Lonchura striata: one gene and its partners. The protein of the gene in region 3 interacts with the protein of the main gene of each other region in a biochemical or structural test. Links are inferred from orthologs where the notes say so. Each region holds a gene or a part of one and is shown on either strand. Other genes may lie near its edges. The genes, in order: PTPN1, BDNF and NTRK2.

Region 1 (10,653 bases), on a different chromosome or scaffold from region 3:
ACACGGCTGGCGCTGCTGTGAAGGAGCCAGCACTGAAGCCCAAGCACAGTGCCCCGAGGGCACAGAGGTGCCATCCCCTGCAGCTGAGCAGCAGCTCTGCTTTCCAGGGAGCACCCTGACTTTGTGAGCCACACTCTGCTGTCCAGCACTAACCCTGCACACACGCAGCAAGACTCAGCGTACAGCACAGGAAAACATGGAATATCTTCAGCTTACCGAAGGAACAGAGACTCCCTGCAACCCTGAGCCCTAAACCAGCTTTCTACAGCCAGAGCCAATTATGCTGAGCCTCAAATGAATCAACAGAGCACAAATTAAGCAGTGGCAAGGCACTGCATGCAGAGACCTGCAGCTAGAACTGGCAGAATAAAGCACAAAGATGCATTTATAAAAAGTCATGTTCGTGCCACAATTTATCTGCTGCTTAGCACCTGAGCAAAGGAGCTACCCAAATGCTTTCAGACTGCAGCCTGCACTCCTGCTGCAGCTTATAAACCAACAACACTTCTAAAGCTTCCCTTCCACTGACCCTAAACACACAACACAACCACACTGTTACAATTCTTCAGGGTCAACCATTTCACAGTTTACTTCCAGCATCAAAATCCATCTACGTAAGAAAATATTCTATAAATATTCTTCCAGAGACAGTGAGTATCTAAAAAGCTTCCCATGCCTTTTATGTTGTGACAGAGGGATATCCAAAATATCCACGATCCCTATCTTCCTCCCATAGTCTGAATAAAGTTCATTAATTTTCAAAATCTGTAGTATTTTAATTTAGCTTAGAGAGGTTTGAAGCATTCAAACATTCAAGTTAATATTTGGTTAAAAGACCTTAAAAAATGAATAAAGAAACTGAGAACAGTTATTTACAGGCCTCAAACCCAACTCCAACTACACTTCAGTTTTCCAGAGATAGGTTTTGGAAGGATACTCACTTCCAAACATGCTGGAAAATCTAAACTATATCCAGTTCTTATTATATATTCCACTAACTATACAAACTAGAAAAGAATGTACATTTTATTTTCATTTTGCTGCCTTCACATGGAAAACTCTGCATGAGCAGTCCCCAAATGTCAGCTCTGCCTCCACCCATAGTGGATGGAATCACCAGTTGAATGGTACATCAGTAAATAATTCAGAGGTGTTTTTACTGCTCCTGATAAGCACATCAAAGTTAATATCATTGGCCAACATACTAAAGTCAACATATCTGGTTTCTTTAAACACAAGAAGCAACTCTATCTGTATTTAAGGGATGTGTTTTTAAGATAATATCTCGTTCTATCATCCTGTGTAAGAAATTAGAAACTAAAGCATCTTCTAAAGTTCTGAAAGGCTTCTGCATGTGAAATTACTATGAAAATCTGATACTGCGCTCACTGTGAGCAAATGACAATCCAGTCATTGTTGTTTTCATGATATCCATCCAGTTGTTTTGATATTCTGGACAAATATCTACTTTTCTTTCCTCCTCTAAGAGCTTAAACTGTGCTTTCCTTAGCTTTGGGGTACGGGTTTTTTGTTGTGACATCTCCGGAGTGAAAGCTTCTCATTCCAATAGATACTTCTAATGGTATTTCTGCAGGGTGCATGTCATTCACTTACCCTTAAGAATCTGTTTTCTGTTGCACACCTTTACCACAGTTAGTACATGGTAAAGCTCACTTTCCTCTTATGGTTTTATGGAAGAGGATTTTAATTCGAATGCGCCTTTCTTACACTTAGGTTTCTCTAAAACAGAAACAACAGCCAGAACCTTAGCAATTATTTTTCTCACTTGGGTCCCTGAACAGCCTCCACAGAATCTTATGGCTCGTAGTTCTTTTAACAAGCAAATCTAGAGGAAAGTATGGGATAGAAATAGGTATTAAAAACCAAACAAACATTCAAAAAAACCCTAGAGTAACAAAACGCAAAGAACTTCATCACTGTTCACCCTGTGACCAGCTGTACAGAGAATGGTTCCACCATTGTGCAGTGCCCAAGACTTGATCGTCACAAAATCACCTAAACAAGGTCTTCATTTTGAAGCGTTTGTGTCTCCCCATGCTGGGATTACTTCTGCTGAAAAAAGGAGATCATCTAAATTCTGTTCTTTCCCAACTGTACTATCATAGCTGAACACAGCTTCCGCTCCTTGAAAAAAAAGACGCATGGACAATTTTAACCCTTCCAGGTCATGTGGCACCCAGGCAGTCTCCCTTCCCTTAGCCACACCTCCCTGTCTAGGCTCATTCCTCCTGGAGCCGCTGTGCTGTATCTCCAGATAACAGACAGGCAAGGAACACGGGCAAGCTGCAAATGTTCACCTGCAGCACTGGGGAATGTTTCTGGGTTCCAGCAGTTACAACCCCAACGCTGAGGTACCAGAAGGCCGTGGTACAATTACCCCGGGGGAAATGCTTTTCTGCACCCATCACACACACTGCTCTACTTACTGCATTCTTCATGCAAAAGCCAGCATTGTAGGAAAACTGCTTTGCTAATGTCACAGCCCAGACACGAAAAGCACAGCTCACGGAGAAGCACCTTCTTCTTCCAGATGTACACGACCTGCCAAGATGCCATTTCCAGCAGCTTATTTAAAAGCAGGATGCAGTTGAGAAACTGAATTTCATGACATAGATGCACATATTTACTAATCAATCAGGGGAAAAAAAAAAAACAAGTAGAAATCCCACCCCCTGTGCTTGTCAATAGTTGGATGCAAACCAAAGAATCACTTCAGTCCTTTTTTAAACTGAATTTTAGTCCTCAATCAAAGCTCATGCTGTGCTACAGTTTGAGCAGGCCACTGAGTCATATCATTCAAAGAGAGCAGGACAAAAATATCACTGAATGCTAATCCCTCATTGAAAATGGGCCATTCCCTCATTCGACGTAGATATTTCACTTCTGTAATTCAATTGTACCTGTAGAAATGTACTACTTAAATTACAAAGCTCTGTTACTCAAAATCATTTCCTGAGCACTAAGCTCGCAACACACCAAATCATCCAGAACGGTTCAGCAAAAACATAACGTCATATATCCACATGACTTTCAACTGATACAGTCGGCAAGCACTGACACTCGGCAGGGAAATGTAGGAAATGGACCTTCTGAAAAGCAGGCTCAACATGTCATGCTTATTCTCTAAAGGCCAGACAACTCAAGATGTTCACCCTGCAAGCTACTGCTGTTACAACTTGCATGCTACTATTCTGAAACTGAAGTCCTTTTATTTCACTTTTATGCAACTCCTCTCCATGGTCTATTGCCAGAGAAATTCACACTGAAAGAAACAAAGCTCAACATCTATGTTGCAAACATGAACTTCAAGTCATTCATTTATGCAATATACCAGCTTAAACATTCAAATGGATGTTACAGCAATGCTGCCTGATCTGACTGAACACATCCGCCCAGTCATTCACGTATTTCAGCTTCTCTTAAACTTCATTTTAGATAAAGGTGTGAAGAACTTTTAAAGACAAAAGCACCAACTTCTGTGGCTTGTATGCTCAGCTGGATCCAGAAGCCAAATATTACTGCAAGCGTTAACGTTTGTCACGGCGCTGTTTTAAATACCCCCGAAAAAAATCTAAACGCAGCAAGCGACACAATAAAAACCCACCAGCAGCTAGCTGCAGGAGTATTGCTAATAAGCTGCTGCAGGCTCTGTTCTATGATTAAGGCGCCTGAAAAGCGAAATGCTGCTGTGCTCCGAGCCGAAGGCAGCTCGGAGGGGCGGCCGGAGCGGCTCCTCCGCTGTCCCCGCGCTGAGGATGCGCCCGCGGCGGCAGCTCCGGGCGGGCAGCGCGGCGGGGCCCGGCCCGCCGGGGAGCCGGGCAGGGCAGGGCAGTGCCGGGGCAGCACCGGCGGCACGGCGGAGAGAACGAGCGGCAGGCAGCGAGCGGAGGCAGGCAGCGCTCCCCACCCGCGGCCGGGGCAGAACCGGGCAGGGCGCTGCCCCTCACCTGGTAGATGGCGGGCCAGCTGGCGGCCTGGTCCAGCCGCTGGAACTCCTTCTCCATCTCCATCTCCACCCCGAGGGGGCCCGGGCCCCCCAGCGCCGCTCCGGCTGCAGCTGCTGCCGAGGCCGCGGCGGCTCTGCCCGGCCCCCGCCCTCACGGTGCCGCCGGAACTGCGCACCCGCCCCGCCGACGCCATGTCCGGGGCGGTGGGACCCGGGCCCGGGCAGGGCACGGCGGAGCTCGGGCGGGCACGGACGTGCCCGCCCGGGCTCCGCCGTGCCCTGCCCGGGCCCCTCCGTGCCCCTCCGTGCCCCGCCGTGCCCGCCCGGGAAGGGAAATTAAGCTTAGTGGGCTCTGGGAGATACATCCTTGGAAAGTGTAGGCCGTGTGCTTGCTAGAAGCGCAGCTGTGCGGCTAAGTGATAGAATTGTTAGACGTGATGGTTGTTTAGTAGGTAAATATAATTGCTGTTTAGTCGTAAGAATAATCATGAGAGGCTGTGGTCAAGGGGTTGAGAAGGGTGGCGAGAAGCTCATGGCCAGCACACACCTGAGGGACCTCGGGCAATGTGTACAATGGTCTCGTTCAGCGTGGGAGCAGCAGCAGCTGTGAGGGGCTGGGGTCACCTCAGTGTCCAGGAGCGGGACAGGAGCCGGGCAGTGTCCCCCGGCAGTGGGGACAGCCTGGCAGCGGGGACACCGGGCAGAAGGATTCGGCTGGGACACACCTGCACAGGGCAGGTGAGCAGAGATGAGAGTGAGGACAAGGAGATGCGACAATCAGAAGCCAGACGGGGACTCAATGCCAGGCTCAGCGAGCCACGTCACAACCGCGGTACCTCAGGTGTGTGAGGGCTGAGAACTTACACAGGAGTGTGAGGGCTGAGGGGTCCCTCAGGTGTGTGAGGGCTGAGAACTTACACAGGTGTGTGAGGGCTGAGGGGCCCCTCAGGTGTGTGAGGGCTGAGAACTTACACAGGTGTGTGAGGGCTGAGGGGTCTCTCAGGTGTGTGAGGGCTGAGAACTTACACAGGAGTGTGAGGGCTGAGGGGTCCCTCAGGTGTGTGAGGGCTGAGGGGTCTCTCAGGTTTGTGAGGGCTGAGAACTTACACAGGTCTGTGAGGGCTGAGAACTTACACAGGTGTGTGAGGGCTGAGGGGCCCCTCAGGTGTGTGATGGCCAGGATCACCACAGGTGTGTGAGGGCCGGGGTCTCTCAGGTGTGTTTGGGCTGGGGTCTCAGGTGTGTGATGCCCGGGGTCCCTCAGGTAATGTTCAGGCCGGGGTCCCCTTTCCCTGGCCCGCAGCCGCGGCTGTCCCGGAGGAGCTCCGGAGGAGCCCGGCAGAGCCCGGTGCAGAGCCCATTCCATCAGGGCAGTCCCGGCAGAGCCCCGGAGATGCCCGGCAGAGCCCGGTGCAGAGCCCGGTGCAGCAGCGCAGAGCCCGGCAGAGCCCCGGAGGAGCCCGGCAGAGCCCGGTGCAGCAGCGAGCCCCGGCAGAGCCCGGTGCAGCAGCGCAGAGCCCGGCAGAGCCCCGGAGGAGCCCGGCAGAGCCCGGTGCAGCAGCGAGCCCCGGCAGAGCCCGGTGCAGCAGCGCAGCCCGCAGCGGGCAGGAGCCGCTGGGTGTCACTGCTCCATCGGGAGTGCTGGAACCCAGCCCCGCTCGCCGCCCGCGCCTCCTCCCGCAGCAGCAGCGCCGGAGGCAGGGCACAGCTCCTCCTGCGAGTTCTTACTCTAGTTCTTCCCATTCCTCCTCGTAAAGATGTACTTTTCCGCTGGCCGAGTATTTCCGTCTAAAATTGCAGGGAAAATTGGCCCTGGCATAGTTTGGCTTTTCTGTAAGGTTTCTTTGGTGGCTTCTGAACTATTTCCTGCTTAGTAGGAAGCCGTACAAATGATATACAAATAGTATAAATTAGTATAAAAATGTATATAACTTTGTAGTATAAATTATTATACAATAATATATATTATACTGTATAAATAATATAATATTACACAGTATAAATTATTATAAGATTTTTTAAAAATAAACATCTTACAATAAAATTTATTGATGGTTGGGATAGACTAGGAAAGGTGGTAGGAATGTCTGGATTGGAATTGTTACAGGAAGGTCTGTTTTCATTAAATTTTCAGTCCTGGCTTGCAATGGATAAAGGGTAAATTAATCTCTGGATTTATAACTTCAGCTGAAGCCAGAGGGGATTTACACAAGTGCTGAATTGGACTCAACTGGCTCCACGCTTTTGGATACATGTGCCAGGGATACCTGTCCCAGTAGAGCTTAAGGTCTGAAATACATTCCAGCCAAGAATATGAGCTGAAAATGGCCACTTGGATCAGACATCTGTGCCCTACAAACTTGTTCACCCTTTAATACATATTTAATCCTCAAATTGTGCCTCCGCACATATGCAGAGCAGCAAAAAATTTCCTAAGAGCCTTTATGAAATTTATGATCTACCTTACAAAATACTAAAAGTTGCAAAATCTGCGAAGGATTGCAGGAAATAAAACACAGAAGAGATTAAAAGTCTTACTGGTAACTCAGATCCATATAATAATGGAGGATTAGGTAAATGAAAATGTTCTGTGCTCTCAGGACACAACCCTTCTTGCACTTTGCACAGAGAAAGGCAGTCCCTTCCCAAAACAATTCCAACCTGTGCAACTTAAGGCACACTGTATTTTCATCCCAGTGTAGCCTGATTCAGAGGTTTTGGTTTTCAAATTGTCCACTAGAGCCTGGCTCTTAAAATGACAATGAGAATTCAGGGGAAAGGGTTGGATCGTGTTACTTATTTCTACTTCATAAAAAAGGCGGGTGCTTGTCCAAACTCAATCCTACATTTCATATCCTCTCTTCATCCTCCACAGCTCAGAGGATCTTGATGGAGAAAGCTGGGAATACACAAATACACGAACTGCACTGTGGAGTGGCAGGGTGTGCCAGCCCCAGGGCTCGCTGCTCTGGCAGCTGCCAGGCTTTAGCTTTTGTGAAACAGAAGTTCTGGATGGGATGGGATGGGATGGGATGGGATGGGATGGGATGGGATGGGATGGGATGGGATGGGATGGGATGGGATGGGATGGGATGGGATGGGATGGAACTTGAGTGCTGCAAACAAGACTAGAATACCAAAAACTCTGCTTACTGCCTCTGTTAAAGGAAAATAACTTCTGTGTGTGTGTGTGCCTGGGCAGCTTCTGCTGGTTCAGATCTTTCAGAGCCTCCGTGGGTTTTACAGGGCGTTTCATACCCTGCTGTGGCAGGAGCAGGTGGAGGCAGAGATCTTTAATCAGCTGTTAGTGACTATATCTCACCGTTGGATGGCACTCCAGCCCTTACTGCTCGTTGCCATCACAGCCTGGATTTCACTCGTACACAGGATTTTTAAGTCAAGTAGTAACGATTAGGAAGACTTTTTTTATTACTAATGTGATAATAGAGTAAAATTACACTTGCAGAGCTGGCTTTAGTTTCACAGCATTAGGCTTTGAGAGGTCTATGTTGAAATCTTGCCAGATTGTTTAGTTTTTTAAATAAAGATTTCCAAATGCAGTTGGGACTCAGGGGTGATGGACTCTCTAGTGTCAGGAGAGATGTGTGTATGTTTATGATTGTAAGGTAATTTATCCCCAGGCTTTCAGTCACTGTTTTATCCTTTATGTAGTGTTTTAGATTAATGGGAGAATGTTTTCAGCAACCTTTTCCTTAAGTGATCCTTTTTCCTTGCAGCAGATGCAGCATCCCTGAGTCTGGAATCACTTCCACCCGTGCTTCCCCGGGCTGCAGAACGGTGAGTGCTCCAGTCTGCACATCTCTAGTCTGGCAAGCAGAAATATTTTTTCCCTCACATTGAAGATGTTCAATGTCTGCATTTCATTCAAAGTTGTGGCTGCTGGTTTTACAAATGCAGGGAGCATTAGCTCAAATGTGGTTACTGACACAGCAAAGGTTTCCTGCTGAGACAGTAGTGTCCTTGGTGTCACTGCAGATTTGCCTGGGATTCCTGCAGGGTTTTGCAGTCTGCCCCGAGTTCCTTGCTGCCAGCAGCCTTAGCTTGGAGCAAAGGGAGTTTATTTATGATTTTCTGACTGCCCTTGAGGTGGGTATCCAAGGCAAAGTGTGTGGCAGCAGCAGCGACCGAGCCTCCCCTCCTTTGGCACCCGCTGCTGGTTTCTGTGGCATCCCACCCCTGCAGTTCTGCCAGCCCCAGTGTTCATGCAGCTGCACTTGGGAATGGAGGTGGGAACACAGCTACTTCAAAAAATACCAATCCCCCCAAAAACACCACCACCACCACCAAAAACCACACCCCACAAAAAATACTTTTCTTCTGGATTAGCTTTAGGCATGACTAGGTCTCTAGTACAGTAAACCACATTGGCACATAAACAATATTTCCAGAACTACAGAACACGTTGATGCTGGGGCAGGAGGAGAAAAGAAGATAAATATCAGTACCATAAACCAGTATTACCACTCAAGACTCCATCCTGAGACACCCCAGCTAATTCTATAATTTCAGTGATCCATGGTGTTCTAAAATTTGTTGTTATTTGTAGTAGTAGTAATTACAGCAGTAATAACAGCAGTAATAACAACTATTATTATTATTATTATTATTATTATTATTATTACTATTATCTTTGTGACAAAATGCATGCCAGCCATAAGTAAGACTGTAGTTACAACAAATATCTTGTGTGGAAAGAACAGCCTGAATTCCTTTTTGTCTAGGAAGAGAACAAAAGCCTTCTCATTTCAGGTAAGCCTTTAAGATAAAAAAATAGGAAAATAAAATCTTATCTATTTTAATCAGTATTTCCTTGAAACAAGTGTGACTATTTTCATATTGTCCTCTAAAGAACAGTTCTTTCTGGAGGCACATCTTAGAGCTTTTAGAGTGTGAGAGTTTTCTCACTCTTTATTTATTTTCTGTAATGGAAGAGGAGCTCAGATCAACTCCCTTTTGCTGAGTCCGAGGGGCTCAATAAAACTGCTTGGGAAACCAGCACCGGATTTGGGATGGCAGCAGGGAGATTTACACTTTGTGTTTCCCCAGCACTGCACATAAACAAGTATCTTTCAGCTGGAACATTTTTTACAAGTGAGATACAGTAAAAAAGTCTGGCCCAATTTGAAAAGTAAATGAGACAGAAAAATCCTTCTGCAGGGCAAAGCAACCTCGATGCATGGCTGGCCTTGGTGACCCCCTGCCAGGAGAAGAGGGACCTAGGAACGTTTCTTCTAATGGGTTATCTGAATCTTATCTGCTCAAACACTTCAGAGTTCAGGAAAAGCAGCCAAAGTCAATTTCTGCTTAGAGTGTTTAAAACAAAAAATAAACAGAAGGGAGAAGTTGTGCGTGTGCAGGAGGAGGCGTTGCGCTGGAGAACGGGCAGGGTGGTGGGACTGGGGAGGGAATGGTTTCACCCACACTGGCTCTTCTGAAATCCGCTTGCATCTATCCATGTTTTCGCAAATGAAAACGAAATTGCACAATCCATAATTGTGGTGATGGAGGGCTGCTGGTGCTCTCTCTGACCTGCCAGGTAGGTGAAACAATTGTCAGTGTAAATTAGAGAACAGCTGTATCGTTATTCAGTGACAGTTACCTGGTTCTGCAAAGCCTGGAAAATGCCTTCAGAGGCAGAGTTTTCAGGTCTTTGTTAATATTTTAAAGCGCTAAAAAAAAACCCAAACCAAACCCCTTCTCAGTGTGCACTGGCTGATGATTGAGATGAGTTATCTGCTCTGTGCCTCCAGCCTCCCGCCTGAACCAGCTGTTCTCAGCCCAGACATCAAGCTCCCTTAACGCTGAACGGAAATGGAAATGGCTGTACTTCACCTGTAATTTCTCCTTCAGCCTGTTGATACCTTATCTATTGACTGTAAGGGCTTTGCTAACCTGTCACCTCTGGCTTTCAGAGCTGCTCTGTTCCAAAGGAAGCTCCAAGAATTGTTGTGCCAGTTCAGTGTCTGTAAAAATCTGTTACTTTCTCTGTCTGTGGCATCAGGCACACTACGTATGAATCCTCTCTGAGTGCCTGTGATATGGAATTGAATCACAAGCTTTTCTTTACAAAGAAAACCCTTCCAACAGGAATGAATCTCTCTTTTGTAGCTGATAAAATAGGAGAAAATTTAACCAAAGCAATTTATTCTGGTTCATATGAAAAATGTTGTCAGTGAAAACATGGAACTCTTACAAAATATCAACATTTCACTCCTATCTGCATGTAGATCAATATGAATGGGTCACAGTGACCTCTCAGGGAGCAGGTGTGCATGGCAACCAAAACTAATATGTATTTTAAGGACTAAGGTCCTTAAAAAAACAGAAACCACCTTTATCCACAGAGGATCTGTTCCCAACAAGATAATTTCTGTACTGTTTTACAGTTGGTTTCAGGGAAATTTTAGCTTTTCAGTTGTTGGGTTTTTTCACACAAGGAACTTTTAAAAAGAAACAAGGGACTTCATTTCTGCTACAGCAAAGCATTTTCAATGCTTTCAATTAGAACATGTTGTTTTATGAAGTGAAAAATTTCTGCTTCCAGAGCATAGTTTGGAGTGCAGGAAAGGGCGGTGTTTTCACAGGAAATTGCCAATTTTCAGTGAAGCAGCATCTCTGAAATTCATTCCACCATGTAACACTTCAGTGAATCACAATAGTCTGGA
Region 2 (10,651 bases), on a different chromosome or scaffold from region 3:
CACCAAACCACTGAAGATAACACTCTTGGTACCAGGTAAAAGAAAACCTTAAAAAAGAGGCAAAAAAGACTGCCACACCAAAACCTTGGAGGATGAAGACATACTCCAAGGGAGATCAGCCATTTTACAATACTATAACTGTAAGAGATGACAGGTGGTGATGAACCACCACCAAAGCAGTGACAGCTCCTGGAGAAACAGGAGATACTAAAATCAATAAAGCTACTTGCAGATTAAGGTATGAGTCACCACAATGGGACCAAATATGGCCCATGTCATTTGTTAGCAGCCGTCCATCCCATGCATCTCTGCAGAGAATGATTAGAATTCCAGAGAAACATGGCAACAGAGGCAGAAAGGGAAATGCTGGAGTTTTTTAAAAGCTGGCAAGAAAGTAATGGGTGCAAACTTAAAATACAGGAAGATACACAAAATTATGCATGGAGTGGAAAATTCATATAACTAGAAGCTCCTTGACAACCTAGATAACAGAAAAATTTATTTTGGGAAGTGGATAGATTTTTAGTAGGGCTCATCAACCTCTAGTTCAGAGTGGATGCACTGAAATATTAGCTCTACCACATTACTTTTTCCTAGGTGAAAAAAGGTCAGAGGACGTTTCATTATGAATTTAATGAGACCAAATACTGCAAATCATGAGTGTTTGAGTGTCACCCAGCCTCCTGATGAAGGATGCTGCTGAGACCTGGCTCTGCTCTGGCTCCTCTCTCCTCGCCTCCACAGCTGCTAAGAACTGCCTCCTATGGCACCCTGACAGGTATCCCTAGCAAACGCAAGTTCTCCAGGTGGAAGTGGAAAAATCCACGGAGGGATGCCGCCCTCTCCCTCCTCCGGCCGGCCGGGGGAGGGGAAAGGAGGACGGCGCTAAGCCAAGGCCGCCGGTAGCGCATCTCCCGGGGCGGAGAGCGGCTGCTCCCCCTGCCCGATCGGAGCCCCGCAGCAGACACGGCTGCAGCAGAAGCGACAGATGACCGACTTCGGGGCGAGCCCCGCGCCCCTCCGCTGCCGTCCTGCGCCACCTCCATTTTGGCTGCGCCGGCGTCCGCTGCGGCTCCGGTGCTGCCGGCGGTGCCGTCCAGGGGCTGCCGCCGAGGAGCCGCTGCCGGGCCGCGGGGCGGAGGGGGCGGCATGCCCTATCTCCGCAGCACCGCGCCCCGTGTCCGCAGGACGGAGCCTCCCGGGGACAGGCGGTCGCCGTAGCAACCGCGGTGGGGAGGGGGAGCACGGGGGGACGCCGGCGGGGGTAGCCCGGCCCGGCGCGGCGGGCGCGGTGCCCTGCGCGGCGTCTCCGCCCTGCTGCGCGGTGGGGACACCGCCCCCTCCCCGCGGCGGGCCGGCCTCCCTCCCTCCCTCCCGCCTGCCGGGGGCTTCCCTGCCCGGCGGCGCTACGTGCGAGCCGAGCGGGAGGGAGCCCGGCGGGAGGCGGGGGCGGCGGGGCCCCGGGATCCGCCCTCCTCCCGGCGGGCTCGGCTCCGCAGCGGGACCGGCCGCGGGGCGCTGCCGCAGGGAGGGCCTGTGGCTCCGGGGCTGTGCCGGGGGGCTCGGCCGGCCGCCCTCAGCTCCGGCGGGCGGGGAGGAGAGGGCTTCCCGCGGCCGGGATTCCCCGGGCGGAGGAGCGCGGGCTGTCTGGAGCGGGGCGGCGGGCGCGGCGCGGCTCCGTGCTCCCTGTCCCCGCGGGGAGCGGGGGAGGGGGGGATGCACAGCCTCCGTGCGGAGCCGGAGAGACCCCTGAGCCTCTCTACCTGCGAGCGCTGCTGCTGCCGCCGCTGCTCCGCCAAACTGCTGACTTTCCAGAGCTTATTTTTAGCCCGGAGACTAAATATTATTAGCTACATTTCTACGTAGGAAGAATCGGAAGTGCGGGGAGGGGTGGGGGGAAGGCACTAGAGATAGGGAGGGAGATGAGCAGAAAGCTTATCCGAATGATCTCCAGTTGGGGGGGCTGCGTTTGGGTTTCAGGCTTGCCAAACGCGCACACACACACACACACACACACGCACACACACCATTAATTATAGCAAAGTAGATGCGGATATTGGATCATCAGGAATACATGCACGGCTCTCCCTTTGAGCCTTAGGTTGCGTATACAGAGGGGTCAGCTAATCTCCCTGTAGGTAAAGATCAGCTGCGTCCCTTTATCTGTGAAAGATCAGTCCTGCACATCAGTGCCAGCTAGAGCTCAGCTGCATCTCTTTAGCTATGCAAAATCAACTTGCATCCTTAGCCAGGAAGAAAAAAAAAAAAATCCGTCGCATCTGCTTCTCTTGGTAAAGATCAGTTGCATCTCTGCCCAAAGCATGCACATACACATAGACGAGATTCCCAGGTTAAATCAGGCACAACTTAAGTTAACTCGTAGTTAAATCTCATCCAGCTTTTCCTTCCTTCCTCACACACATCAAGCAGCAAGCAAGGTAACAAAACTAGGCGAAGAGCAGGCACCCATCCCCGCACCACAGAGAGGTAGAGGCAGGAGCCAGAGGGGCCGCCGGGGGTGTCCCCCCTCTGCTTACCTTGGTTACAGCTAACACCACGAGCAGTGGCTAGATCGCGGAGATAAATACTGGCATTTCCCAAAGTTGACACCGTCAAACCAACCCCCGGAGCTTGTAAGACTCTTTTTTTTTTTTTTTTTTTTTTTTTTTTTTTTTTTTATCCCTCCTCTCTTGTTCCTATTCCAGTCCGCACCGCTAGGAATTCAACTTAGCCCAGCTCCAGCGGGGCGAGAGGGCGGCGGGCGGGGAGGGGAGGGGAGTGGAAGCACCGGGGGTTGGCGGGGGAGGGAAGCCGGTACCCAGCGCCAGTGGCTCCCCGAGCCCGCCGGGTCGCGGAGCGATGCGGAGCGGTGCGGGGCCGCCTCCGCCGGCCCCCGCCGCCGCTGTCCAGGGTGCTGCCGCCGCCGCCTCCCCGCCCCGCTCCGCCGCCGCGCCCGCTGCGCGCCCGGGCCGCTCCTCGCCGCGGCCCCCCGCCTGTGACGTGCCGCTCCGCGCGGTTCCGCGCCCCCTCCGGGCAGCCCCGAGCCCCCGGCCCCCCCGACGGCAGGCGGCAGCGCCCGCCGGGGAGAGGCGAGCGCCGGCCACAGCCCGGCCGCCACAGCTCCAAGTTTCTCTCTCAGACGCGCCGTTTCCATCGCAGCCCTAAATCAAAGAGCGCCGCAATTAAAGTTACACGGTCTAAAACACAATTCTCCCGGCCTCCGCCGGTTACGCTCTTTGGCGTATTAAGTACTATAAAGCCGAGCCCGTGGTATCAGATGCTGTCGTTAAGCAACATCTCAAGCTTTTTGGTGTAGTTGTTTTGTTCTTCTCTCCAGGTATTAAAATAAGCTTTTTTTTTTTTTTTTTTTTTTTTTTTTTGCAGGTAGGTACTCACCATTGTTTCTTTGCTGTCCTGGAGACAGAAGTGGTTTAAAATCCAGTCTCTCCAACAGATGCTGGAAGGTAATGTGTCTTGTTTGAAGTCATCATGTGAGAACTTCTGCTTTGCTCAGTGGATCGCCCACCACTTGGTGTGACTTATGAATCTAATAACCCTTTGCAATATCCGCAAGCTTAAACTCTCCACCACCTTGGTGCCTACAGAAGACAGAAAGCAACTGGCAGGGAGTTTTAAAAACCTATAGATTTACGCAAACGCCTTAGCTCAGAGTCACGTTTCCCTCTGAGTTCTTACGTGATCTTAATGAATGAGAGGGGTTACCAACCAATACAGTATAAAACGTGATGGCAGCCGCCTCCCAGGAAATCGGAGCGGGACACTAAATTCCCGAGCGAAGTCCCGGCCGGCCGGGCGCGCTCCGCAGCGAGCGCTGACTCCCACCGCCCTCCTCCCACCTCCCGGCTCGCACCTGGGGCCGTGCAAGACGAGCCGGCTCCGGAGATTTATGTTCGGGACAGGTAAGTCGACATTTGGGGGGTTGCTTGTTTGTTTGTTTGTTTGAATGTCACGTTCACTGCGCTCTCACGGGAAGTGCTCCAGGGACTTGTTGCATACTAGGTCCTGCCACAAGAGGAGCGTGGCACAGCTGCCAAGACGAGTTCCTTTCCGAAACCCTCGCCCTTCCCGAGCTGCAACTTCCCGCACGCTTTTCCTCCCCCTCCTCCCTCCACCCTCGCTGGGAGGCGCATCCCGGGGGCGGGCTGCTCCGCCGGCCTGCACTGAGCCCCTGCCGCCGGCAAGGCAGAGGGGAGGGGAGCGCATCCCCGGTATCTGCCTTTCCTTTTCCTTCTCCCCTTTTCCCCTCGGGGCCCCAGCAGCACCCGGCTCCGCCCGTGATTTCTATCGCCAAGTCAATTCCGGTTCTGCTTGCGCTGGGAGAACGCCCGCGCACCTGGGCAGCCTCTTTCCCCGAGAGAGGTGGCCGAGCCCCAGGATTGCTCCTCCAAAGTCCTCGTCCCCAGTTTGTCTTGGCATCTCGGGTTTATTCTCAGTGGCTGCCCCGCCTCCCGGCTCCGAGAGCCCCGCGGGAGCGGTGCGGGAAGGGCTGTGGGAGGTGGCGCGGCGGGTTTCTTCGCCTTTGAAGGCGAATTGCTGTCAACTGAGCCTGGACTTGCCAAAGTTTATGGGTGCTGCCTCTCATAAGGAAAAAAAGAGAGCAAGACCGGGGAGCTCCTCGTCCACTCCCATTCTCTCCTGACTGAGTGCTGGAATTACATTCACGGGTCATTTATCTCCAAAGCGCCTGTTTCTCCCGCCCCCCGAGTCCCAGGTACCTCTGCCTGGGAGCCCAAGCAAGCAGCCTCTTCCATGACAACCGTCTATGTTGATCCATGCAATAACCAGCAGATGCTGCCCTAAGACTGGTACAGCTGGTACTTTCCTGCCTCGGCTGTCCTGGGGACAAGGTGTTAGAAGAAAAGTCAAGTGGTACCCAGCAAAGCTGCCCTGAGGAGAACCACGGAACCCCCTCACTGCATCACACGCTGCCTGTGTGCCATGTGCAGGCAGAGCCTGCCGGAAAGCCTGCTACTGATGTAACACTGCACCCGGCACATCATCCTCTCTCTGACACGGTGTCACCCGAGACACGTCCTCAAGTGCTCATCTTCAGTCAGGAAGCTGAAGTTTTCTTCCAACAGTTGGAAATACTCATAGCTAGTGTTAATACTGGTCGGGAATACAGTTTTTAGTGTCATTAAAGTTAAAAAAATCCAAAAACCTAAGTGTTTCAACAAGTGGACTTGCAATGAGTTCTGCTTTCTCCCATTCTTCTAAGCAGTTTGCTCCTGCCCCTTCCTCAGGGGAATAAAGTAATTTGGTAATATCTACTTTGAGTAGTTAAGCTGCACAATTCACGTTTTCATGACATAAACACATATCTAAATCTTAAAGGTTTCTGACCCTGTGGAGTCCTCGGTGTTTTATAGAGAGAACTTTACAACGATCCATTATGATTTAAAATGTATTTCTGCACACTTATTTTAGAGCTCAAGAAACATTGCCTTCATTGTGAAAGTAATTGCCACTGTAGCACTTGTAACAAAGTACTTAGCAGCACTGTTCGTCCCCTACTTGAAATTTCATTAACTTCTCGGTATCTTCATTTTCTGATGAAGGTCTCAGTTGTTAGAGACGCCCAGGAGAAACCTTTGGTGGGCCACAGTATCGTCTTGAGTAATAACGTTAAATTTACAACAAATCTGCAAAGCTTCCCAGGAGATCCACAGCAGGAAGCAGCATGGTGTCATTTCAGCCCTGTGCATATGCATTTTCTGCTGGAAACTGGTGGGATTTGCCAGCAGTGATAAGGTAGGGTGCTGCCTGGGAGAGCTTGTGTTTGCTCTGGAGACCTGTCGGGGTGCCATGTGAGATACAGCTATGAGCAAAGTTACTTCTTTGGACAGCTAACTAGAAGAGCTCCTGGTCAGCATTTCTGCTTGAGAATTGGACTCCACGCACCCACCCCCCTGGGGATATGTGACAACTGATTAACACAGATCATTCTCAATCGACCAAATTAAGCACACGTTTGCTGAAGAGATTGCTTTAGATAGCGTCAATGTAATTAATGGAATAAACAGGGCTGTAATCAAGGGAATGGTACAAAAGTGTGTGGGAAAATAAAAGGTCATTGGTAGGGTAATAGGAGATGCTATGGAGAATGGGAATTACCTGGCAGAAGAAGAGTAGGAGGAGGCAGTATAAAACAGAGTTCTTTCCTTGTAGTGGCTTTCACAGGTGAGAGAACAGCCCAAGTCACTTTGATGGGCCAGTGCTGAAACTGAGACACCAGTCAATGCACCAGTCACTCCTCTGTCAGCGTTTCCTGCAAGAAGGGCATTAGAAAGGGGATGGACTAGAATTAAACCTAAATGCCCGTTGAGTTTCTAGACATTTCCTTTCCGTATGTCTTGTTTCCAGCTAGGTTTTGTTTTGGTTTTTGTTTTGTTTTGTTTTTTTCTCTAGAAGATCTTACCCCCAGGCCATGGGAGACGCAGCCATGAAAAACCACTTGATGTGAGTTGGCGTGGAGGGTTTTTTCCCTTACTACCGTAGAGGGGCACAAGTGACTCAGTTACTCACCTGACAAGTCATACACCTCAGTAAAAACTGAAGCAGTGGGTAGAGTTTAGCCCATTATTTAAAACTAATAATCAGGTGGTCCGTTTACAGGCTGCTGAAATAGAATAGCTGTTAGCATTTGCCAGGATGACATGGCACAGCATTTGCTGCAAGCAGGTAGTTCATACATATAAGGCAATGTACATCTCTTGTTCCAAGTCTGTTTATCTTGGAATCACATTGTTACCAGATGAAGTATACAGCTGCAGGACCTGACTTCAGTGGGGACTACTCATACGTAAATAGTGACATAACTGTTTAGCAGATGAGGCCTAATTAAGAGGGAATCAGCCATACATTTTCCTTCTCTTAGACAAAACAATGTGAAGAATACTGCAGGAGCATTGCAAGAAAGTCACAGTGACTTAAATCAACCTGTGAAGCATCCCAAAATCCTGAGCAAGCTGCAAATGCTCTTTCCCTGCCTTAAAACACCTTAGAAAATGATGAGCTGGTTGGCTTTTTCACACAGTTGAAAGACTACCAAAATATGTGGATAACTGCTAAGCACCTAACTGCTAAGGTGCTAAAAGACACCCTCCATTCATTATGTACAGCTGCTCCTTCAGGGACCACCGAAAACCTGCTTCAGACACCAACATTAGCAATCTGAGCAGAATCAGATGATAGCAGTAGCTGTCAGCTTCACAGAGATGCTTCTGAAATAAGAGCTGTGTGACATCATCGCTGGTGTGAAACGGGGCTGCCAGCTTCTCTCCATGCCAGCAATCTAATGGTGTGTTTGCAGAAAAGGTCCCCCAGGGTTATGGTGTGCTAGTTTTGCTGGTAACCTCCTGCTTCTTCAACAGGCGGATTTGGCACCTGCCCTGCTACTGCCTGGAGGGTAAATACCAGCCTCCCATTAGGTATTTAGGGTAGTCTCCCATCAAGTGTTGATTTTCTGTGCCTGATTTCCTCCCCCTGTAGATTATCTTGCTCTGATATTTCTATCTTTCCCCTGATCTTCACGCTGCAAGTGTTAGCAGTCTTTCACTCTGCCTCCTCCCTCCCTGGAAGTTTTCCTTTCTTTCTGAGCCTACTTGTCTTCAAAGTGCGTATATTCCATGCTGGTAACATGCAGATGAACATCGTAGTCATGATCCCACTCAGATACTAAATAAGCCTCCCACCAATGCCTTGTCCTCCTTTAGAGTGCTGGAACATTTCAGCTTGCTTGCAGTCTCCTGCAAGTAGCAGGAAATCCTCTGGAGCAGACAGGCAGCAGCACATGTGCTTGTTGTGGTTGCACCTCTGAGAACGGCTGATCACCGACTCCTCTCCAAGTGTCTGCAGGGAAGGGAGGCTGAGATTCCCACAGGAATCCCACAGGTGGGCCCAGAACCTGGCCTCCAACCCACCTCAGCCCACAAGAGAAGGGCTTCAGTGTCACCATCAATGGGAGGTATTTTGCCACGTTGACTTCTTTTAAGATCACAAACTGTGCCAAGCTCATATTCACATTTGGTAAAATGAGGAGAGCTCAGTATGCTTAAGGAAAGCCAGCCCTGATACAAGCCAGGATTAATCAGGGTTTCCATCATTCACAGTGTCTGAAGCAAATACCTTGAGACAGATGCCTTGGCCAGCATAACTAATCTGTGGAGGCAGCAGCACAGGTTACAGTGGGACGACATGGATCAGGGCTGATAGGGGGTCTGTCAGCATTAAGTCAGCCACCAGCTTGCTGATCCTGGGGAAATCCTCTGTTCTGCACTTCCAGTTGTCCATAGGTACCTCCACATCCCTCTCACAGGGGAGTGGGACCGTAGCAGGACTTCAAGGACAGGTCTGAGAGTTTTGCATTAATTATTTCCTTGCCATCAACTTACAGTAAAAAAAACCACTATTGTAGTGAAGTTTTGTCTAAACTGTTTCTGTCATTTATGGAAAAGGTGTGTTTCAGTAAAACTTCTAGAATTAATTAATTTCTCAAACTACCACACATGCAAATGTAGTTCAGTACCTGTATGGCACTCAGGTTAGCTGGAAAAGACAGGAGATTAGATAAATGTAATGGAAACTATTGACCAATGTAAGTTCTCCTGCCTGACCTGAGCAAAATGAGATACTGGGTATCTCTTACTAGAAGAAAACCAGAGATAACGGAGAGAAATCAGAACCTGGAGAAAAAGAAACATGACAGCTGTAATCTGTTACTATTGCAACCTGAATATAGGATTCATTGCCAAGGTAGGGCACCCTTTCTTTTGGCATTGAAGTCTACACCTTGCTTCATGTAACCACAAGAAAACATCTCCAGGCATCAGCCTTTAAAAGAGATTCTTTCTTCAATCTTCTTTAAAGAGAAAATATACAGCGTGACTGTGAACAAAATAAGCTACATCCTTGCCTCATCATATTTTTAAATGCTGTTACATGCAGACCTGAGTTAGTAAAGAAAACCAGCACTCCCATACAGAAATACCCTCACACAACTATAGGGGATTAGCCTTAATTGTACTTACAGGTGAAAAGTAAACACATTCCTTAATTCCCTTCCAAAGTTAATGTTTATAAGGAAACTACCTTCCAAAACATATGAATCTACTTCTCAACAGTCAAATACCTTCTTAGCTTCCATGGGAGCTCACAGTCACAGCTCAGTGTTTGAACCCTGTGGAGCATGGTAGAAACATGTTATTGTTGAGATCAAAATATCTGTTGGAGGAACTACACATGGAGTTAGCAGAGAGTAAGAGGAGCTGGATGCTTGTCCTATAAGGGTTACTAAGGGATGCTGGCAAGCTCTGCATTCATATGATGAACTCTTTCAACTATAACTGCATTCTCTGCAAGGCCCCTGGGTGGAAGAGGAAGAGGGTGAGATGAAAATAGAAGAAGAGAGGAACAGGGCAATAGTGGTATGGGGTAAAAATGCTGAAGGAAAAGTAGAAATGCAGAGAAACTCTTCCAAGGCTACCACCGAACTGGGGGCATTTAGTGAAATAATAACCTCCATCCAGGCTCTTGCAACAAGTTAGCTAAAAATACCTCCTACCAGTTATGTATGAAATCGTCCTGTCTATTTTTATCTTGTAATTTTCAGACTAAAATGACAAATTCTCCCCTGAGATAGTATTCACAACAACCAGGAAACAGTGCTAATGTTGACCTAAATAAATAAAGCTGCTCCCATGTAAGAATTCCTGCAAGGATCCTTTAAAACAAGATACTTTGAAAACATTTGCTGCAAAACACATATGAAACCCTGGGGGACAAACAGCCTGCTAGACACTATTGTCTCACTATCCCAGTTTCCCAACAAGGCTGAGAGCTTTACAAATGCACCGCTAAAGAGGGCAGGGGTATTAGAGCAAGACTTCTGATGCCAAAACACAGGGTCCTGGATATTCCTTTCAGCTAGGGCACAAAGAAATTTTCAAAGACAAAGGTGTTATTTTGTGCAGTTGTATACATGTTTTTGAGCCTAGCTGCACAGGAAGCTTTAACTATGTCTTATGACAATTGACATGATGCTTTCTGTCTCAGGTGGTGCTATTACCCTATCTTAACTTTTTGATGGGGTCATTCATTACTGCTAAAGAGAGCAGTTGCACACTAAACCAAGCAGATCTCTTCAGTGCATTGTTGATTGAGATGAATTAGATCTGTTGTCCTTATTCAACCTGAAGCTGCACAGCTAAGATCTGTTTCCAAAACCAAACTTCACAAAGATAGGGGCAAGTCTAGATGAAAATTTTGTGGAGGTTTGTTTAGGATTTTGCGATAAACTCACCAAATGCAGCAGTGTTAGAGGGCGTTATTAAGAATATTATTGCTACTCTTAATTTGTATTTGCATCCCAGTTTGAAGATGAGTCTTTTCCACTGGCAGCCCACATACTGCTGCAGCATCCCTTGCTTTGCTCTACCTGATAATCTGTCAATAAGGTGGGCGATTAGGAAAACCTCTACTGTGCAGCAATTAGCAAATCTTCTGTTCCAGCAGAGATGAAAAAACTGACTTTTTTCCCCAAAACCTGAAACTAGAATGACCAAAAGGGGCCGTTATTTTCCTTTAGTGCCCCTTGTAATGCTGTCTATTTAGCTTAAAGATGTTCTGCATG
Region 3 (10,059 bases):
AGATAGGGGATCCCTCTTTACTTAAAAATGAAAACCAAAATGGAGAAATCAGGTCCATGTTCAGTTATGTAATTTTTTTTGCTCTACAGTGATTAGGGATCCAGAATATCGCTAAGCTACTTTCTCTGTTACACTTGTCAGCATAAAAATAATGAAGAAAAAATAGAACCTGAGAAATCTGGAAAATGCCATCCTAAAGATATTACAGGCTGCACTGCCAAGCCCTATTTTCTCATTAGTATGGAAAAAAAAATGGAAGTTTCTTGAAAACAATGTGTTCAAGACCAAATCTTTCATTTCAGTATATACATCCCAAACCTTTTTCAAAACTCTTGAGTGACCAAATATATTGAGGGAGAGACTGTGTTCCTGCCACCCTGCCCAACACTGACTGCCTCCTGAAGGATGATGCTCTCTTCCAGCCTCATGAGCTGTTTTGTCTCTGCCCGATTGAGACAGCCTCAGTGGAAACCCTCAGGAGCCCCATCAGTTCTCACAAACCAGAAGGGCAATGTCTACAACAAGACATACAAAAAAAAGAACAAATACAAAATTCAGTGCTTTGTGATCCTGGATATTTTAAGAGCCTAGAAATTACAAAACTGATTTTCACCGTGCTTACCTTTAACTCACCTTAACCAATTACCCAGATCTTTAAAGGAAGGTTTTTTTTAAAAAAAAGACAAATTCTGAAATGAAGATATTATGTCACCCACTGTCCAAAACTCCTTTAATAATTTGTAGCCTAGTGTCTCATGTTTTATTATACAATTCCAAGTCACCAGAAATAACTTCTCAATCCAGCCAAGTCATGCAATGATGTACAGAAGTTGCTTTGAGGAGGAAGGGGCTAGAGGCTGAGGAGCCTCATAGACAGTTTTATGTGACATTAAATCTACAACAGTCTCAAAATCTAGGATAAAAACTACTCAAAATACCAACAGCTCTTAGCTTCAATGAATTTAAACATGCTCTTTTTTTTTAGCACAAGCTCACATGACTTGTTAAATAATTTACTCTATAAATTACTTATCCTGTCTTACTTATTAACAATTCTAGAGTGCTTTATATAACTGCATTAGAAATTTATTTTGTGGTTTTGAAATGTACGCAATACACAATCACCTCCCTTTTAATAAGCAAGAGCTTAAAAGTCACCTACTATTTTGTTGGCAAGCAGTTCTTCCTGAAAAACACCAATTAATTTCAAACCTCATCCACCTGAATAATCATAAATAAACATATTAATGACTTGATAGCAGAACTGTGAAACTAGGCCAGGAATATACTTGTACTGCAAGATGGCACTTTTAAATCAAAGTCTTTGAAGAGTCATGTACACTGAGATACAACAGCAATACATTTTCCTTAATGAGAAAATATTACAGTGGTCCTGAAAATATTACAGAAGTCCTGACCACTCTAAAAAATTCTCATTTACTATCCTATTAATATTTTTGCATGAGTGATCTCAACAAGGCCTGCTTATTTGCCATTGTGTCTACAATGAATGGATTTTACAAAACTGATAAAGCAATTTTGCTTTTGTCACTCTTGGTCCTTAGCTTTTAATGTATCAATAACTGATACCATTTATCCTAATGCAGGATCTCACTCTGGAGTTCAGTTTATCTCCAATAATACCAAAGTGACCAAACAATTATTACAAGTACAGTGTGTTATGATAAACACCAGTACTTGTTTTCCAGATAAAGACCAGCCCACACCATCATCTTAACCAACCAGGCAAATATAAAATCTGTCTCATTTACTGTAGTAGAACACTATGCAAAAACAGCCAGGAAGGGAAAGAGTGAGAGAGATGACTAAGAAAGCACCAGGCATAAATACTCTTATGCCCTCCCACACCAAGTTTCAGCAGCTGGCCTTCATAGGGCTGATGCAGAAGTACCCTCTACATAGCTTTGGATGCTGAATCTGAGCAGGAATCAAGAAATAGCCGGACTGGATGAGACTGCTTATAAACTCTAAAGCACAACCCACCTGTGGACCAAAACAGTGAAGCACCGGAGTCTTAAGTGGTGGAGGTTGCCAGATACATGGTACCTCATCTCTGTTATTCCTGCTGCACCATCCCATCTTTTTCCATCTCTTAAAGCCAAGTGGAAAACCCTGGCTTCCCACTCACATCCTGCCTGCTCAATGCCATGCACCTGGCCTATAGCCAATCCTCTGCACCACCATGGGTTTCACATACACACCCCAACCATGCAGTTAATCCAGCGCTCCCAGTATGTGTGGCAAAGAACTCAATCAGGACCCACGCCCCGGGTGCCTGTGGATGTTTTGCTTAGGACTGCAGGATGCACTCCTGTCAAGACCAGGACATAACTAACAAGTGAAGGATTGATTTCAATAGATACTCATAAAATACATGTGAATAAATTCTTCAAATTAACTGTCTTATACTTCTTACATGTTATTTATACCAAGAGTAATTCCACCAGAGACCAATGGAATGTATCTGCAGAGAACATAAAAGAAGAACCAGGCCTGAAGCTACACAAGTAAAATGTAACACTCCAGTCTCTTAAACCTGTTTCTTAGCTAGAATTAAGCAAGATCTGTGGTGTTATAAACACGTTGACAATCTGTACCAACTGTATTAGAACTGCTCCTGTGCTTTCACACAATGAAATAACATGACAGCTACTGCAGTTCAATCTTTAATTTGTCTATAAACTAATTAAGGGGTCCTTGTGTTTTATGTTAAAAGCACACAAGAAAATACCATCTTAAATATGTGCAACAGCATCTCCTGAGAAATCCATGACTCAAAATTATTTTTAGATCACCAAACAAAACAATGTGCAATGTCACAGAATGATACAGTAAAAACCAAAAAGCATTGTAAAGACAATGATGCTTAAAATAACCCAGAAAAATTAACACCAAAAGCATCAATGTAAAAAGACTAGACATATTTTAGTTCATCATGGAAAAAAACATATTTACAATATGTGTTTTCTGTTCTGGCCTTTCAAACCAGAGATTAAATTCAAGATGAGAATTGCTCTGTTACTTCTAAACAGAATGCACTGCATAAAAAGGCTACCACAGCCTATAAAAATAATCAGAGATGCATAGTTCAAGGTATTTTTTTTTTCTATTTAAGCAATCTGCAGAAACATCTGAATCAATAACAGTTATAACTCAGAAAGACCATTTCTGTATCACAGGTCCTAAAAAATTTCCCAAAGGTAGGCCATACATGAGCAGTAGAAATGAATGCCTCCAGCTTTCCCCCCAAGCAAATGCAGGGAAATGCAGCAAATTGACTTCAACGAACTGCAAAAATGTAGCCCAAAGGCTAGAATTTAATCTAAACTCCAACTGTATTTCAATAGTATTTTTCTATTTCTTCTAGAAGACACTGAAAAACAGAAGAAGGATGGAGAATATAAATTGTGAGAAATCTGTATAGATTGGAGAAAAATATGCTGGTATCTTTTACATTAAATGCTACAGAAAGCAATTGAAAAACAGGGGTAGGGAAACATAAACAAAAAAGCTTGAGAAGGTTTTTCCTGAGCACTATCATCTACACATCCAGTATCCAAAATTTTTTGCTCTGCAAAAGATTTTCTTAGGCAACGGACATGAATGCTTTGGTGCTCTGAACTGTGAAACCATGCCGGATTTAACACAAAAAGGTACAGAACTCCCTCATCAAATACTGTCTTCGAGGCCAACGTGGATGGAAGCACCACATGAGAATGAGAGGGAAAAAAACTTTTTTCCTCACGGTCAGTTAGGTTTCTCTAATTCCTTCCCAATTGCTAATAAGCAGCACTACGTTCATTCCTCTGCAGGTTTTGTGTTTTTTTCCTTCCAGCCACCTCCACTGAGAAGGTCAAAGCAGGTTCGCATTCCTATGGTTAGGGTACGAAAGCCAGTTTGCTGTCACTTTCTGCCGCATCTCTCTCTTCCTTTACTTTTTTCCCTTTTTTTTTTTCTTTTTTTTTTTTTTTTTTTTACGGAAATAAAACAGGACAAATCTGGGGCGAAGGGCAAGCCACCCACCAAACACTCTCGGTTCGCAGAGATAAGATCAGCGAATGAAAGACGTAAAAAAAAAAAAAAAGTAAATTAAAAAAAAAATAGAAAAATCCCTCCGTTTCATACCTGCTGCCGCCGCAGAGGTGCGGATGTGCAGTGCGCAACCCGCGGCAGCAGCTGGGGCAAGGGTCGGAGGCGAAGCCCCAGCCCCGTCCCGCTCCCCGGCTGCCCCGTGGTCCCGGGCAGCCGGCGCCGACCCCCCGCCCCGGTCCCCGCGACCTGCATCGCCAACAATTCGGATTCATTATGTAAAACGGGCTGGCAGCGCCAGCTCTTGCAAGCCGCGTCCAAATAAAATCAAAAGGGGCTTTTAGGCTTCCAGCCACCACATCCGCCCGCCGAGCAAAAGCCTCTGGCGTGGGTCAGTTCCCCGCTGCCCCCGCCCGCGGCTTTCCCCGCCCGCTCCGGCCCGTCGCCCCCGCGCCCGGCCCCGGGCCGTACTCACATCTCGGTAACATTGTCGCCCTCAGCGCTCCTCTGCGGCACGGGAAAGGAAGCGATGCCGGGCGACGATCCCGTGCACCAGATCCGCCAGGAGCTGCACCCGCAGGACGCGGGGCAGCCCAGCGCAGCCGGCCAGCAGCCCAGCACCAGGCAGCACAAGCCCCACAGCTGCGCCAGGCCGGGACCCGGCCTCCGCCGCCAGGACACCATGCTCACTCCAGCACTGCCCCGACGGCCTCCTCCAGCTCCCGCCGCCGCCGCTGCCGGGCGCACGGCCGGAGGGTGCGCAGCCTTCCGCGCCGCGGGCGGGCACGCCGGGTTCACATGGGCGCGCCGCAGCCGCAGCCTCCGCCGCCCCGCTGAGGGCTCTGACCGCCCCGCTGAGGGCTCTGACCGCCCCGGGCGCCGCGCGGGCCGGCGGGGGCCGGTGCTGGGCGCCGCGGCGACGGGGACGAGCGGGGCCTCCGGCGCGGCACCTGCCCCTAGCCCCGCGGGCGGACAGCGGCGCCGCCTGCCCCCGCGGCTGCTGCCGATGATGCTGCAAAACGCGCGGGGCGGAGGGGGCAGGTGGCGGAGGCTGCGCTCCTATCTGCGGGGGCCGCTGACCGCCGGAGGGACGGCGAGCGGGCGGCGACGGAGGCGCAGCGAGCGGCGGCGGCGGCGGCGGGGCTCAGAGCTCCGCGCTCGCCCCTTTATGCACCGTCTCCTCCTCCCTCCCTCCAGCTGATAATAAAGCAGCTCCGGCTCCTGCTTCAGCCCAAGACGGGGAGCTGCCGGCAAAGTGACGTGGGGCTGACGCAGAGAGGGGCAGAAACTCCACAAAATGAGCCTGAAATAAAAATGAAAAAAAAAAAACAAGGGAGGAAGGAGGAGGGAGCGGGGGAAAGGGAGGGTGCCGAAGAGCAGATACCAATAGGCAGCCTGCACTTGAGCTTTCAGCCTCGCACGTACATGTACATGTACACACACACACACACACTCATACCGGCGTACACGCACGCTGCGGGATGGGCAGCGCGTCGCCGCCTGTGCGGACAGTGTGCCTCGCCTGGCGGACGGAGGCACCGTGCCGAGAGGCACCTGGCATGCCCGCCAAGGCGGGAGCTGGCCATCGGGTGATAAGCGGGGGTGCGAGAACTCCGGGAGACGACGAATGAGCGACCATAAAACGCCTTGTTTTCCCCTTGACAGCTCCGCGGTCGGGGCTGGTTTTCGTTTCTCTGCCCCCACCCCCGGTTGCGGGCTCCGCAGCGCTGCCAGCGCACCGGATCCCGCCGCAGTGCCCCGCGCTGAGCGCTCCGCAGGCGCCACCGCGCGTCCCCGCCGCCGCCGTGCACCGCGGCCCGGCCCGGCGAGCCGTGCAGCCCCCGCCGCCCCACCGACCCCCGGGCGCCGGGTGGGACGGCGCACGACACACCACGAGAAGTAGTTACCATTTCCCGACATCGAGGCTGAGGCAGGTCTGAATGACATACATGTGTCACGTATTCGCAGGTGCAAAGACCCGCTGATCTTCCCTTGCTGTTTCTGAGATTCTGTGCTTCTGTCCTGGCACATGACATCTATGACGACAGGTTCTTCACTTATCACTTCACCATTAAGTATAAAAATGTTGATGGTCCTTTCTTACCTTGTTACCCAAGCTGAATGTTTTGAAGTTACTAAACCAGGGCAAATTAAAGAATAAAAGGTTACGGAATTCCTATTACAAAGGTACAGAATGAACAGTTAATACATTGTTAGAAGGTGCTTGGGAATCCATTTGACATGACATTCACTAATTGAAAACACACTCCATTCCATTTGTATTTGCTCAGGCTAACAGGAAAAGCCACATTTTACCAGGTGGCTTTGTAGGCCAAGCATGTGTAGATTTTGCTTTAAAAGAACATCCTAATAAGAAAGTCATAGACATACCTAGCTGAAGCACTCTATACAGAAATAATATACCTCCCCATAAAGCAACAAATGCAGACAGTACAAAAAGCCATAATCAAAAAAATTGTCAGTCATGATACTTTTTAACCAAAGTTCTGAAGTTTATTGTTGTATACTCAGAATATACTGCCTCTCTATGAAGTTCAGCACTTTGAAGTAAAGTATTTCTCTAAACAAAATATTTATGGAAGGAAAACAAGTAAAATTAAAATGTCATGTGGCATTTTTCTAGAGGAAAATGTTGGTAATTTTTAAAGAATGTGAAGGAAAGAGAAAAAATAATAGCATAAACTGCAATACTATTCAAATCAGAAAAGACCTTGAGAAAGAGCCTTAATGCAGGGTAGAAGTAAAATTTTTAAACCTGTAAGTTGCTGCAACACCCGTATTATTGCTCTCCAGCCAAGTCTTCTTACAGTTTTGGAAAATGTGCTTTATTTCCCCCTCTCTCTCCTGGAGGAACACAAGGATATCACCTCATTGGGGCAATAAATACCCTTTTTAACTGTCCTATCAATTCTATGACAACAAGCTCACATTAATCTTATCATATATACTGAATCAGCATATATACTAATCAGCATATACTGAACATTATTCTTTCACAAACATCTGTTTTCTGTGAATCTGTGAAATTGAGGCGTTGTCAAAGAAGTTTTAGATAAAACCATGCAATTGGATCAAATTGGCTAATTAAACAATTCAATAGTGTTGAAAGAGTAAAGTTCTGTAGGCCAGATCATATATATTCATAAGGTTGCAGACCAGTGTTAAATAAAGCTTGAGGCAACACTTGGAAAAGGGTATTATCACCTGTTGTGGTAAACATCAGTTTCTCTGCTGCAATTCAAAATATTTCTTATAGGAGTGTTGCTAACTGTACAGTAATCTTGTCTTAGAAGGTTTGAGATGCATATATTTCTATATGATAATACCAAAAATTATCAGGTGTGAAACTATGATGGTAAAATTGCCAACTACTGTTAAAAACCTATTTTCCCCCTAAAATTAGTATTTGACCAAAATTGACGGGGGAGGGAGAATGTGGGAAGAAGCAAACTGAAATTGTCATATTTTCAGGTGACCAAAATTGTTAAAATGAAAGCTATGGAATACTCTATCAAGAAATACCATTGCTGGCTTAGTAGGGAAAACAGCAGCCCTTTCTACAGGCACAGCTCCTGCTTTGAGTCTTTAAATTCTAGAATTACTAAAGGGAAAGGCTGTACAAATAAGTTCAGTGGTAAATCATGACTTCGCTTCTACATAGATAAGTTTTATTTTGATGTTTTCTGTGCATATTTTTCTCTCAGATTCAAGAAAGTAGAAAAGAACATAAAATACTCAAATACTTCCTATTAATCAGTACTTAAGGAAGAGCCACAATATGAATCAATATTTAAGGAAGAGCCACAACTAAACCTCTAAAGACAAGTAGCTTTCTGGTAATGCTACAAGACAAAATATCATCCTGAAGGTGGTAAAATTATGGCAAAGAGTTAAACATATTACAAAGCTATAGAGTGTGGTGAGAGGGTTAGAAAATATGAATTGAGCCAAGATTGAAAGAACTCACTTTCTTCAGTTCATGAAAGTCTGACAGAAAGTTCAATAACAGCCCTGAAATATGTAACAAGGACAGGTAATATTTTTTGTCTATAGGATAGGACAAGGATTAATACACTTGATTTACAACAAGGCAGATTCATGTTTGGCATCATGAAAACTTTTGAAAAGAACAGTTAAGAACAGCAAATAGATCACTTCAGAGAACCCTCAAATCTTGAGTAATAGAGCCTTCTCAGAGCAGATGAGGTAAACCTCTTCCAAGCTGGTAAAGAGATTTGCCTTAGGTGAGAGCAAATCAATGACTTCCCAGAAAATCTGTTGTTTGCAATACACATTTCTTTGCCTTTTTTTTTTTTTTTTTTTTTTTTTACTGACATAGATAAAGTTATGGGAGAACATTCATCTGACTATATTACAAGGAAAACCTGAAGATGCTGAAAAACTCACTGTTTGCTTGAAATTTGTGTTCTAAAGTTTACCATTTGATTGCTTCAAAAGTTTTGAAACTAACTCATACACCATACATAAAGAATGTGTCACAGCACAGGAAGTATAGTAAATATCTGTAAAAATTTAAACATGTATTTTGTAAAAGAGGTAGGAGCTGAAAACTCAAAGACTCCTTGTGAGAGTACTTTTATTTAGGTGGAGGAATAAGGAATTATACCACAGAGTCTGGGAACAGGTAAAGGCTACATAATTTGTGTGTGCAATGGTACCTTATCCCATCCAAAGGAATGTGTACCAAAAGACTAGTCTCACCAAAACTGTGCAGAAATAAACTGCTTAAACTTTGCTTACAGTTTGAGAATTTTTAGCTCTTACAAGAGTGAGAGGTTGGACAGTTCATGGGACCTTATGATCTTATCAGAAACATTTTGTTTTCCAGCAAAATATCCCAATTCCCATGAAACTTTTCACATGAAGTATTCTTGCGTTCAAGCTAGAATTATGGTCATATACAACTCTGTACCATGACTCAGAGCAAGCTTGTGAACTCCGCTTGACAGCATCTTTTGGGCTTACACTGAGGTGTACCTGCTTCTCTAACATAAGATCTCACATCTTTTCCCTGAATGACAAAATCTGGCTTCCATACTACACTTTTCTGAATTTCCTCCAAACACGAGGCACTCTCCGAGTGTTTTAGCTTACATTTTAATCTTTCCAGTATTCCACCTATTTGCAGATTTATCTAGCTACTTTATGCTGGCTGATTTTGCATTCCTAATAATGTGTTTACCTTATCACTTTGAAGCCCTACTCAGCCTTCATTTGCTTTAAAGTGAAGCTGAATCCTGCCACCTTGTGCTCAAGAAAATCAGCACAACTTTTTATTTTGGGAAGGAGAGAAAAAAGAGGAAAGGGGAAGGAAAAGTTTATTAACTACCATTTTTCTATTAAACAAGGATTTGAAGATCTGGAGATTTAATTGGTTGGGTCCAGTTTGATATGGCCTGAGATGTCTGCATGAGATCTTCTCAAAAGGACAATCACTCTCCTAGAGACACTGTTCACACCATGGAGAGCCACTTTCAATCTCTCTGCAGGGGTTTGAAGCTGTGGCCTCCTCCGTAACCTGATGCAACTAAGACACTTATCCAGCTTCTCATCCTGTAACCTCTGTCTGTTTGATGGCTCAAAGTATTAATCACAGTGTTCTGGTTATGCTTGGTCACATTTGCTATGACACCACCATTACTTTCTTTTCATCAATAAGAAATCACATCACAGACTGGATGGAAAGACCTTTCTCATTTATAAAAAAATACGAGTATTTTTAGAGGGGGTGGTAAAAGTAATCCTTGTAAGGAGCAATGGATGTCCTTTTTCTGCTTAAGTCCAAGTAAACATTCTTTTTTTCTGTCTGACATGATTCCACCAATACCTTTCTGGTAATGTGTAAATGCAGACATCATCCCAAAGGTGGTAGAACTGACACAGACTTGGAAAGGTATCTTCCTCCACCACACGCTTAATTGCACCTTCCCTCCTCCTCACCCCTGCCTTGTTCTGTACACTGCCACT

The links.
Region 1: the proteins of NTRK2 (region 3) and PTPN1 form a complex in vitro, tested with the Homo sapiens proteins (2 studies listed by BioGRID, with this or other methods). The link is inferred for Lonchura striata from reciprocal best matches to the Homo sapiens genes NTRK2 and PTPN1.
Region 2: the proteins of NTRK2 (region 3) and BDNF form a complex in vitro, tested with the Homo sapiens proteins (3 studies listed by BioGRID). The link is inferred for Lonchura striata from reciprocal best matches to the Homo sapiens genes NTRK2 and BDNF.

What each region holds. Positions count from the first base shown.
Region 1 is NC_134619.1:1,087,016-1,097,668, reverse strand, and holds the start of PTPN1 (tyrosine-protein phosphatase non-receptor type 1), read right to left. Parts: upstream 4,122-10,653; 5' UTR 4,032-4,121; coding exon 3,969-4,031; intron 3,753-3,968; exon of another isoform or gene 2,460-3,752; coding exon of another isoform or gene 2,448-2,459; intron 1-2,447. UniProt on the Homo sapiens protein: Tyrosine-protein phosphatase which acts as a regulator of endoplasmic reticulum unfolded protein response. Mediates dephosphorylation of EIF2AK3/PERK; inactivating the protein kinase activity of EIF2AK3/PERK.
Region 2 is NC_134608.1:62,120,464-62,131,114, reverse strand, and holds the start of BDNF (neurotrophic factor BDNF precursor form), read right to left. Parts: upstream 4,402-10,651; 5' UTR 4,355-4,401; intron 3,907-4,354; exon of another isoform or gene 3,872-3,906; intron 3,600-3,871; 5' UTR 3,400-3,599; coding exon 3,397-3,399; intron 2,700-3,396; exon of another isoform or gene 2,538-2,699; intron 1,790-2,537; exon of another isoform or gene 1,764-1,789; intron 1-1,763. UniProt on the Homo sapiens protein: Important signaling molecule that activates signaling cascades downstream of NTRK2. During development, promotes the survival and differentiation of selected neuronal populations of the peripheral and central nervous systems.
Region 3 is NC_134642.1:26,509,481-26,519,539, reverse strand, and holds the start of NTRK2 (BDNF/NT-3 growth factors receptor), read right to left. Parts: upstream 4,856-10,059; 5' UTR 4,735-4,855; coding exon 4,526-4,734; intron 1-4,525. UniProt on the Homo sapiens protein: Receptor tyrosine kinase involved in the development and the maturation of the central and the peripheral nervous systems through regulation of neuron survival, proliferation, migration, differentiation, and synapse formation and plasticity.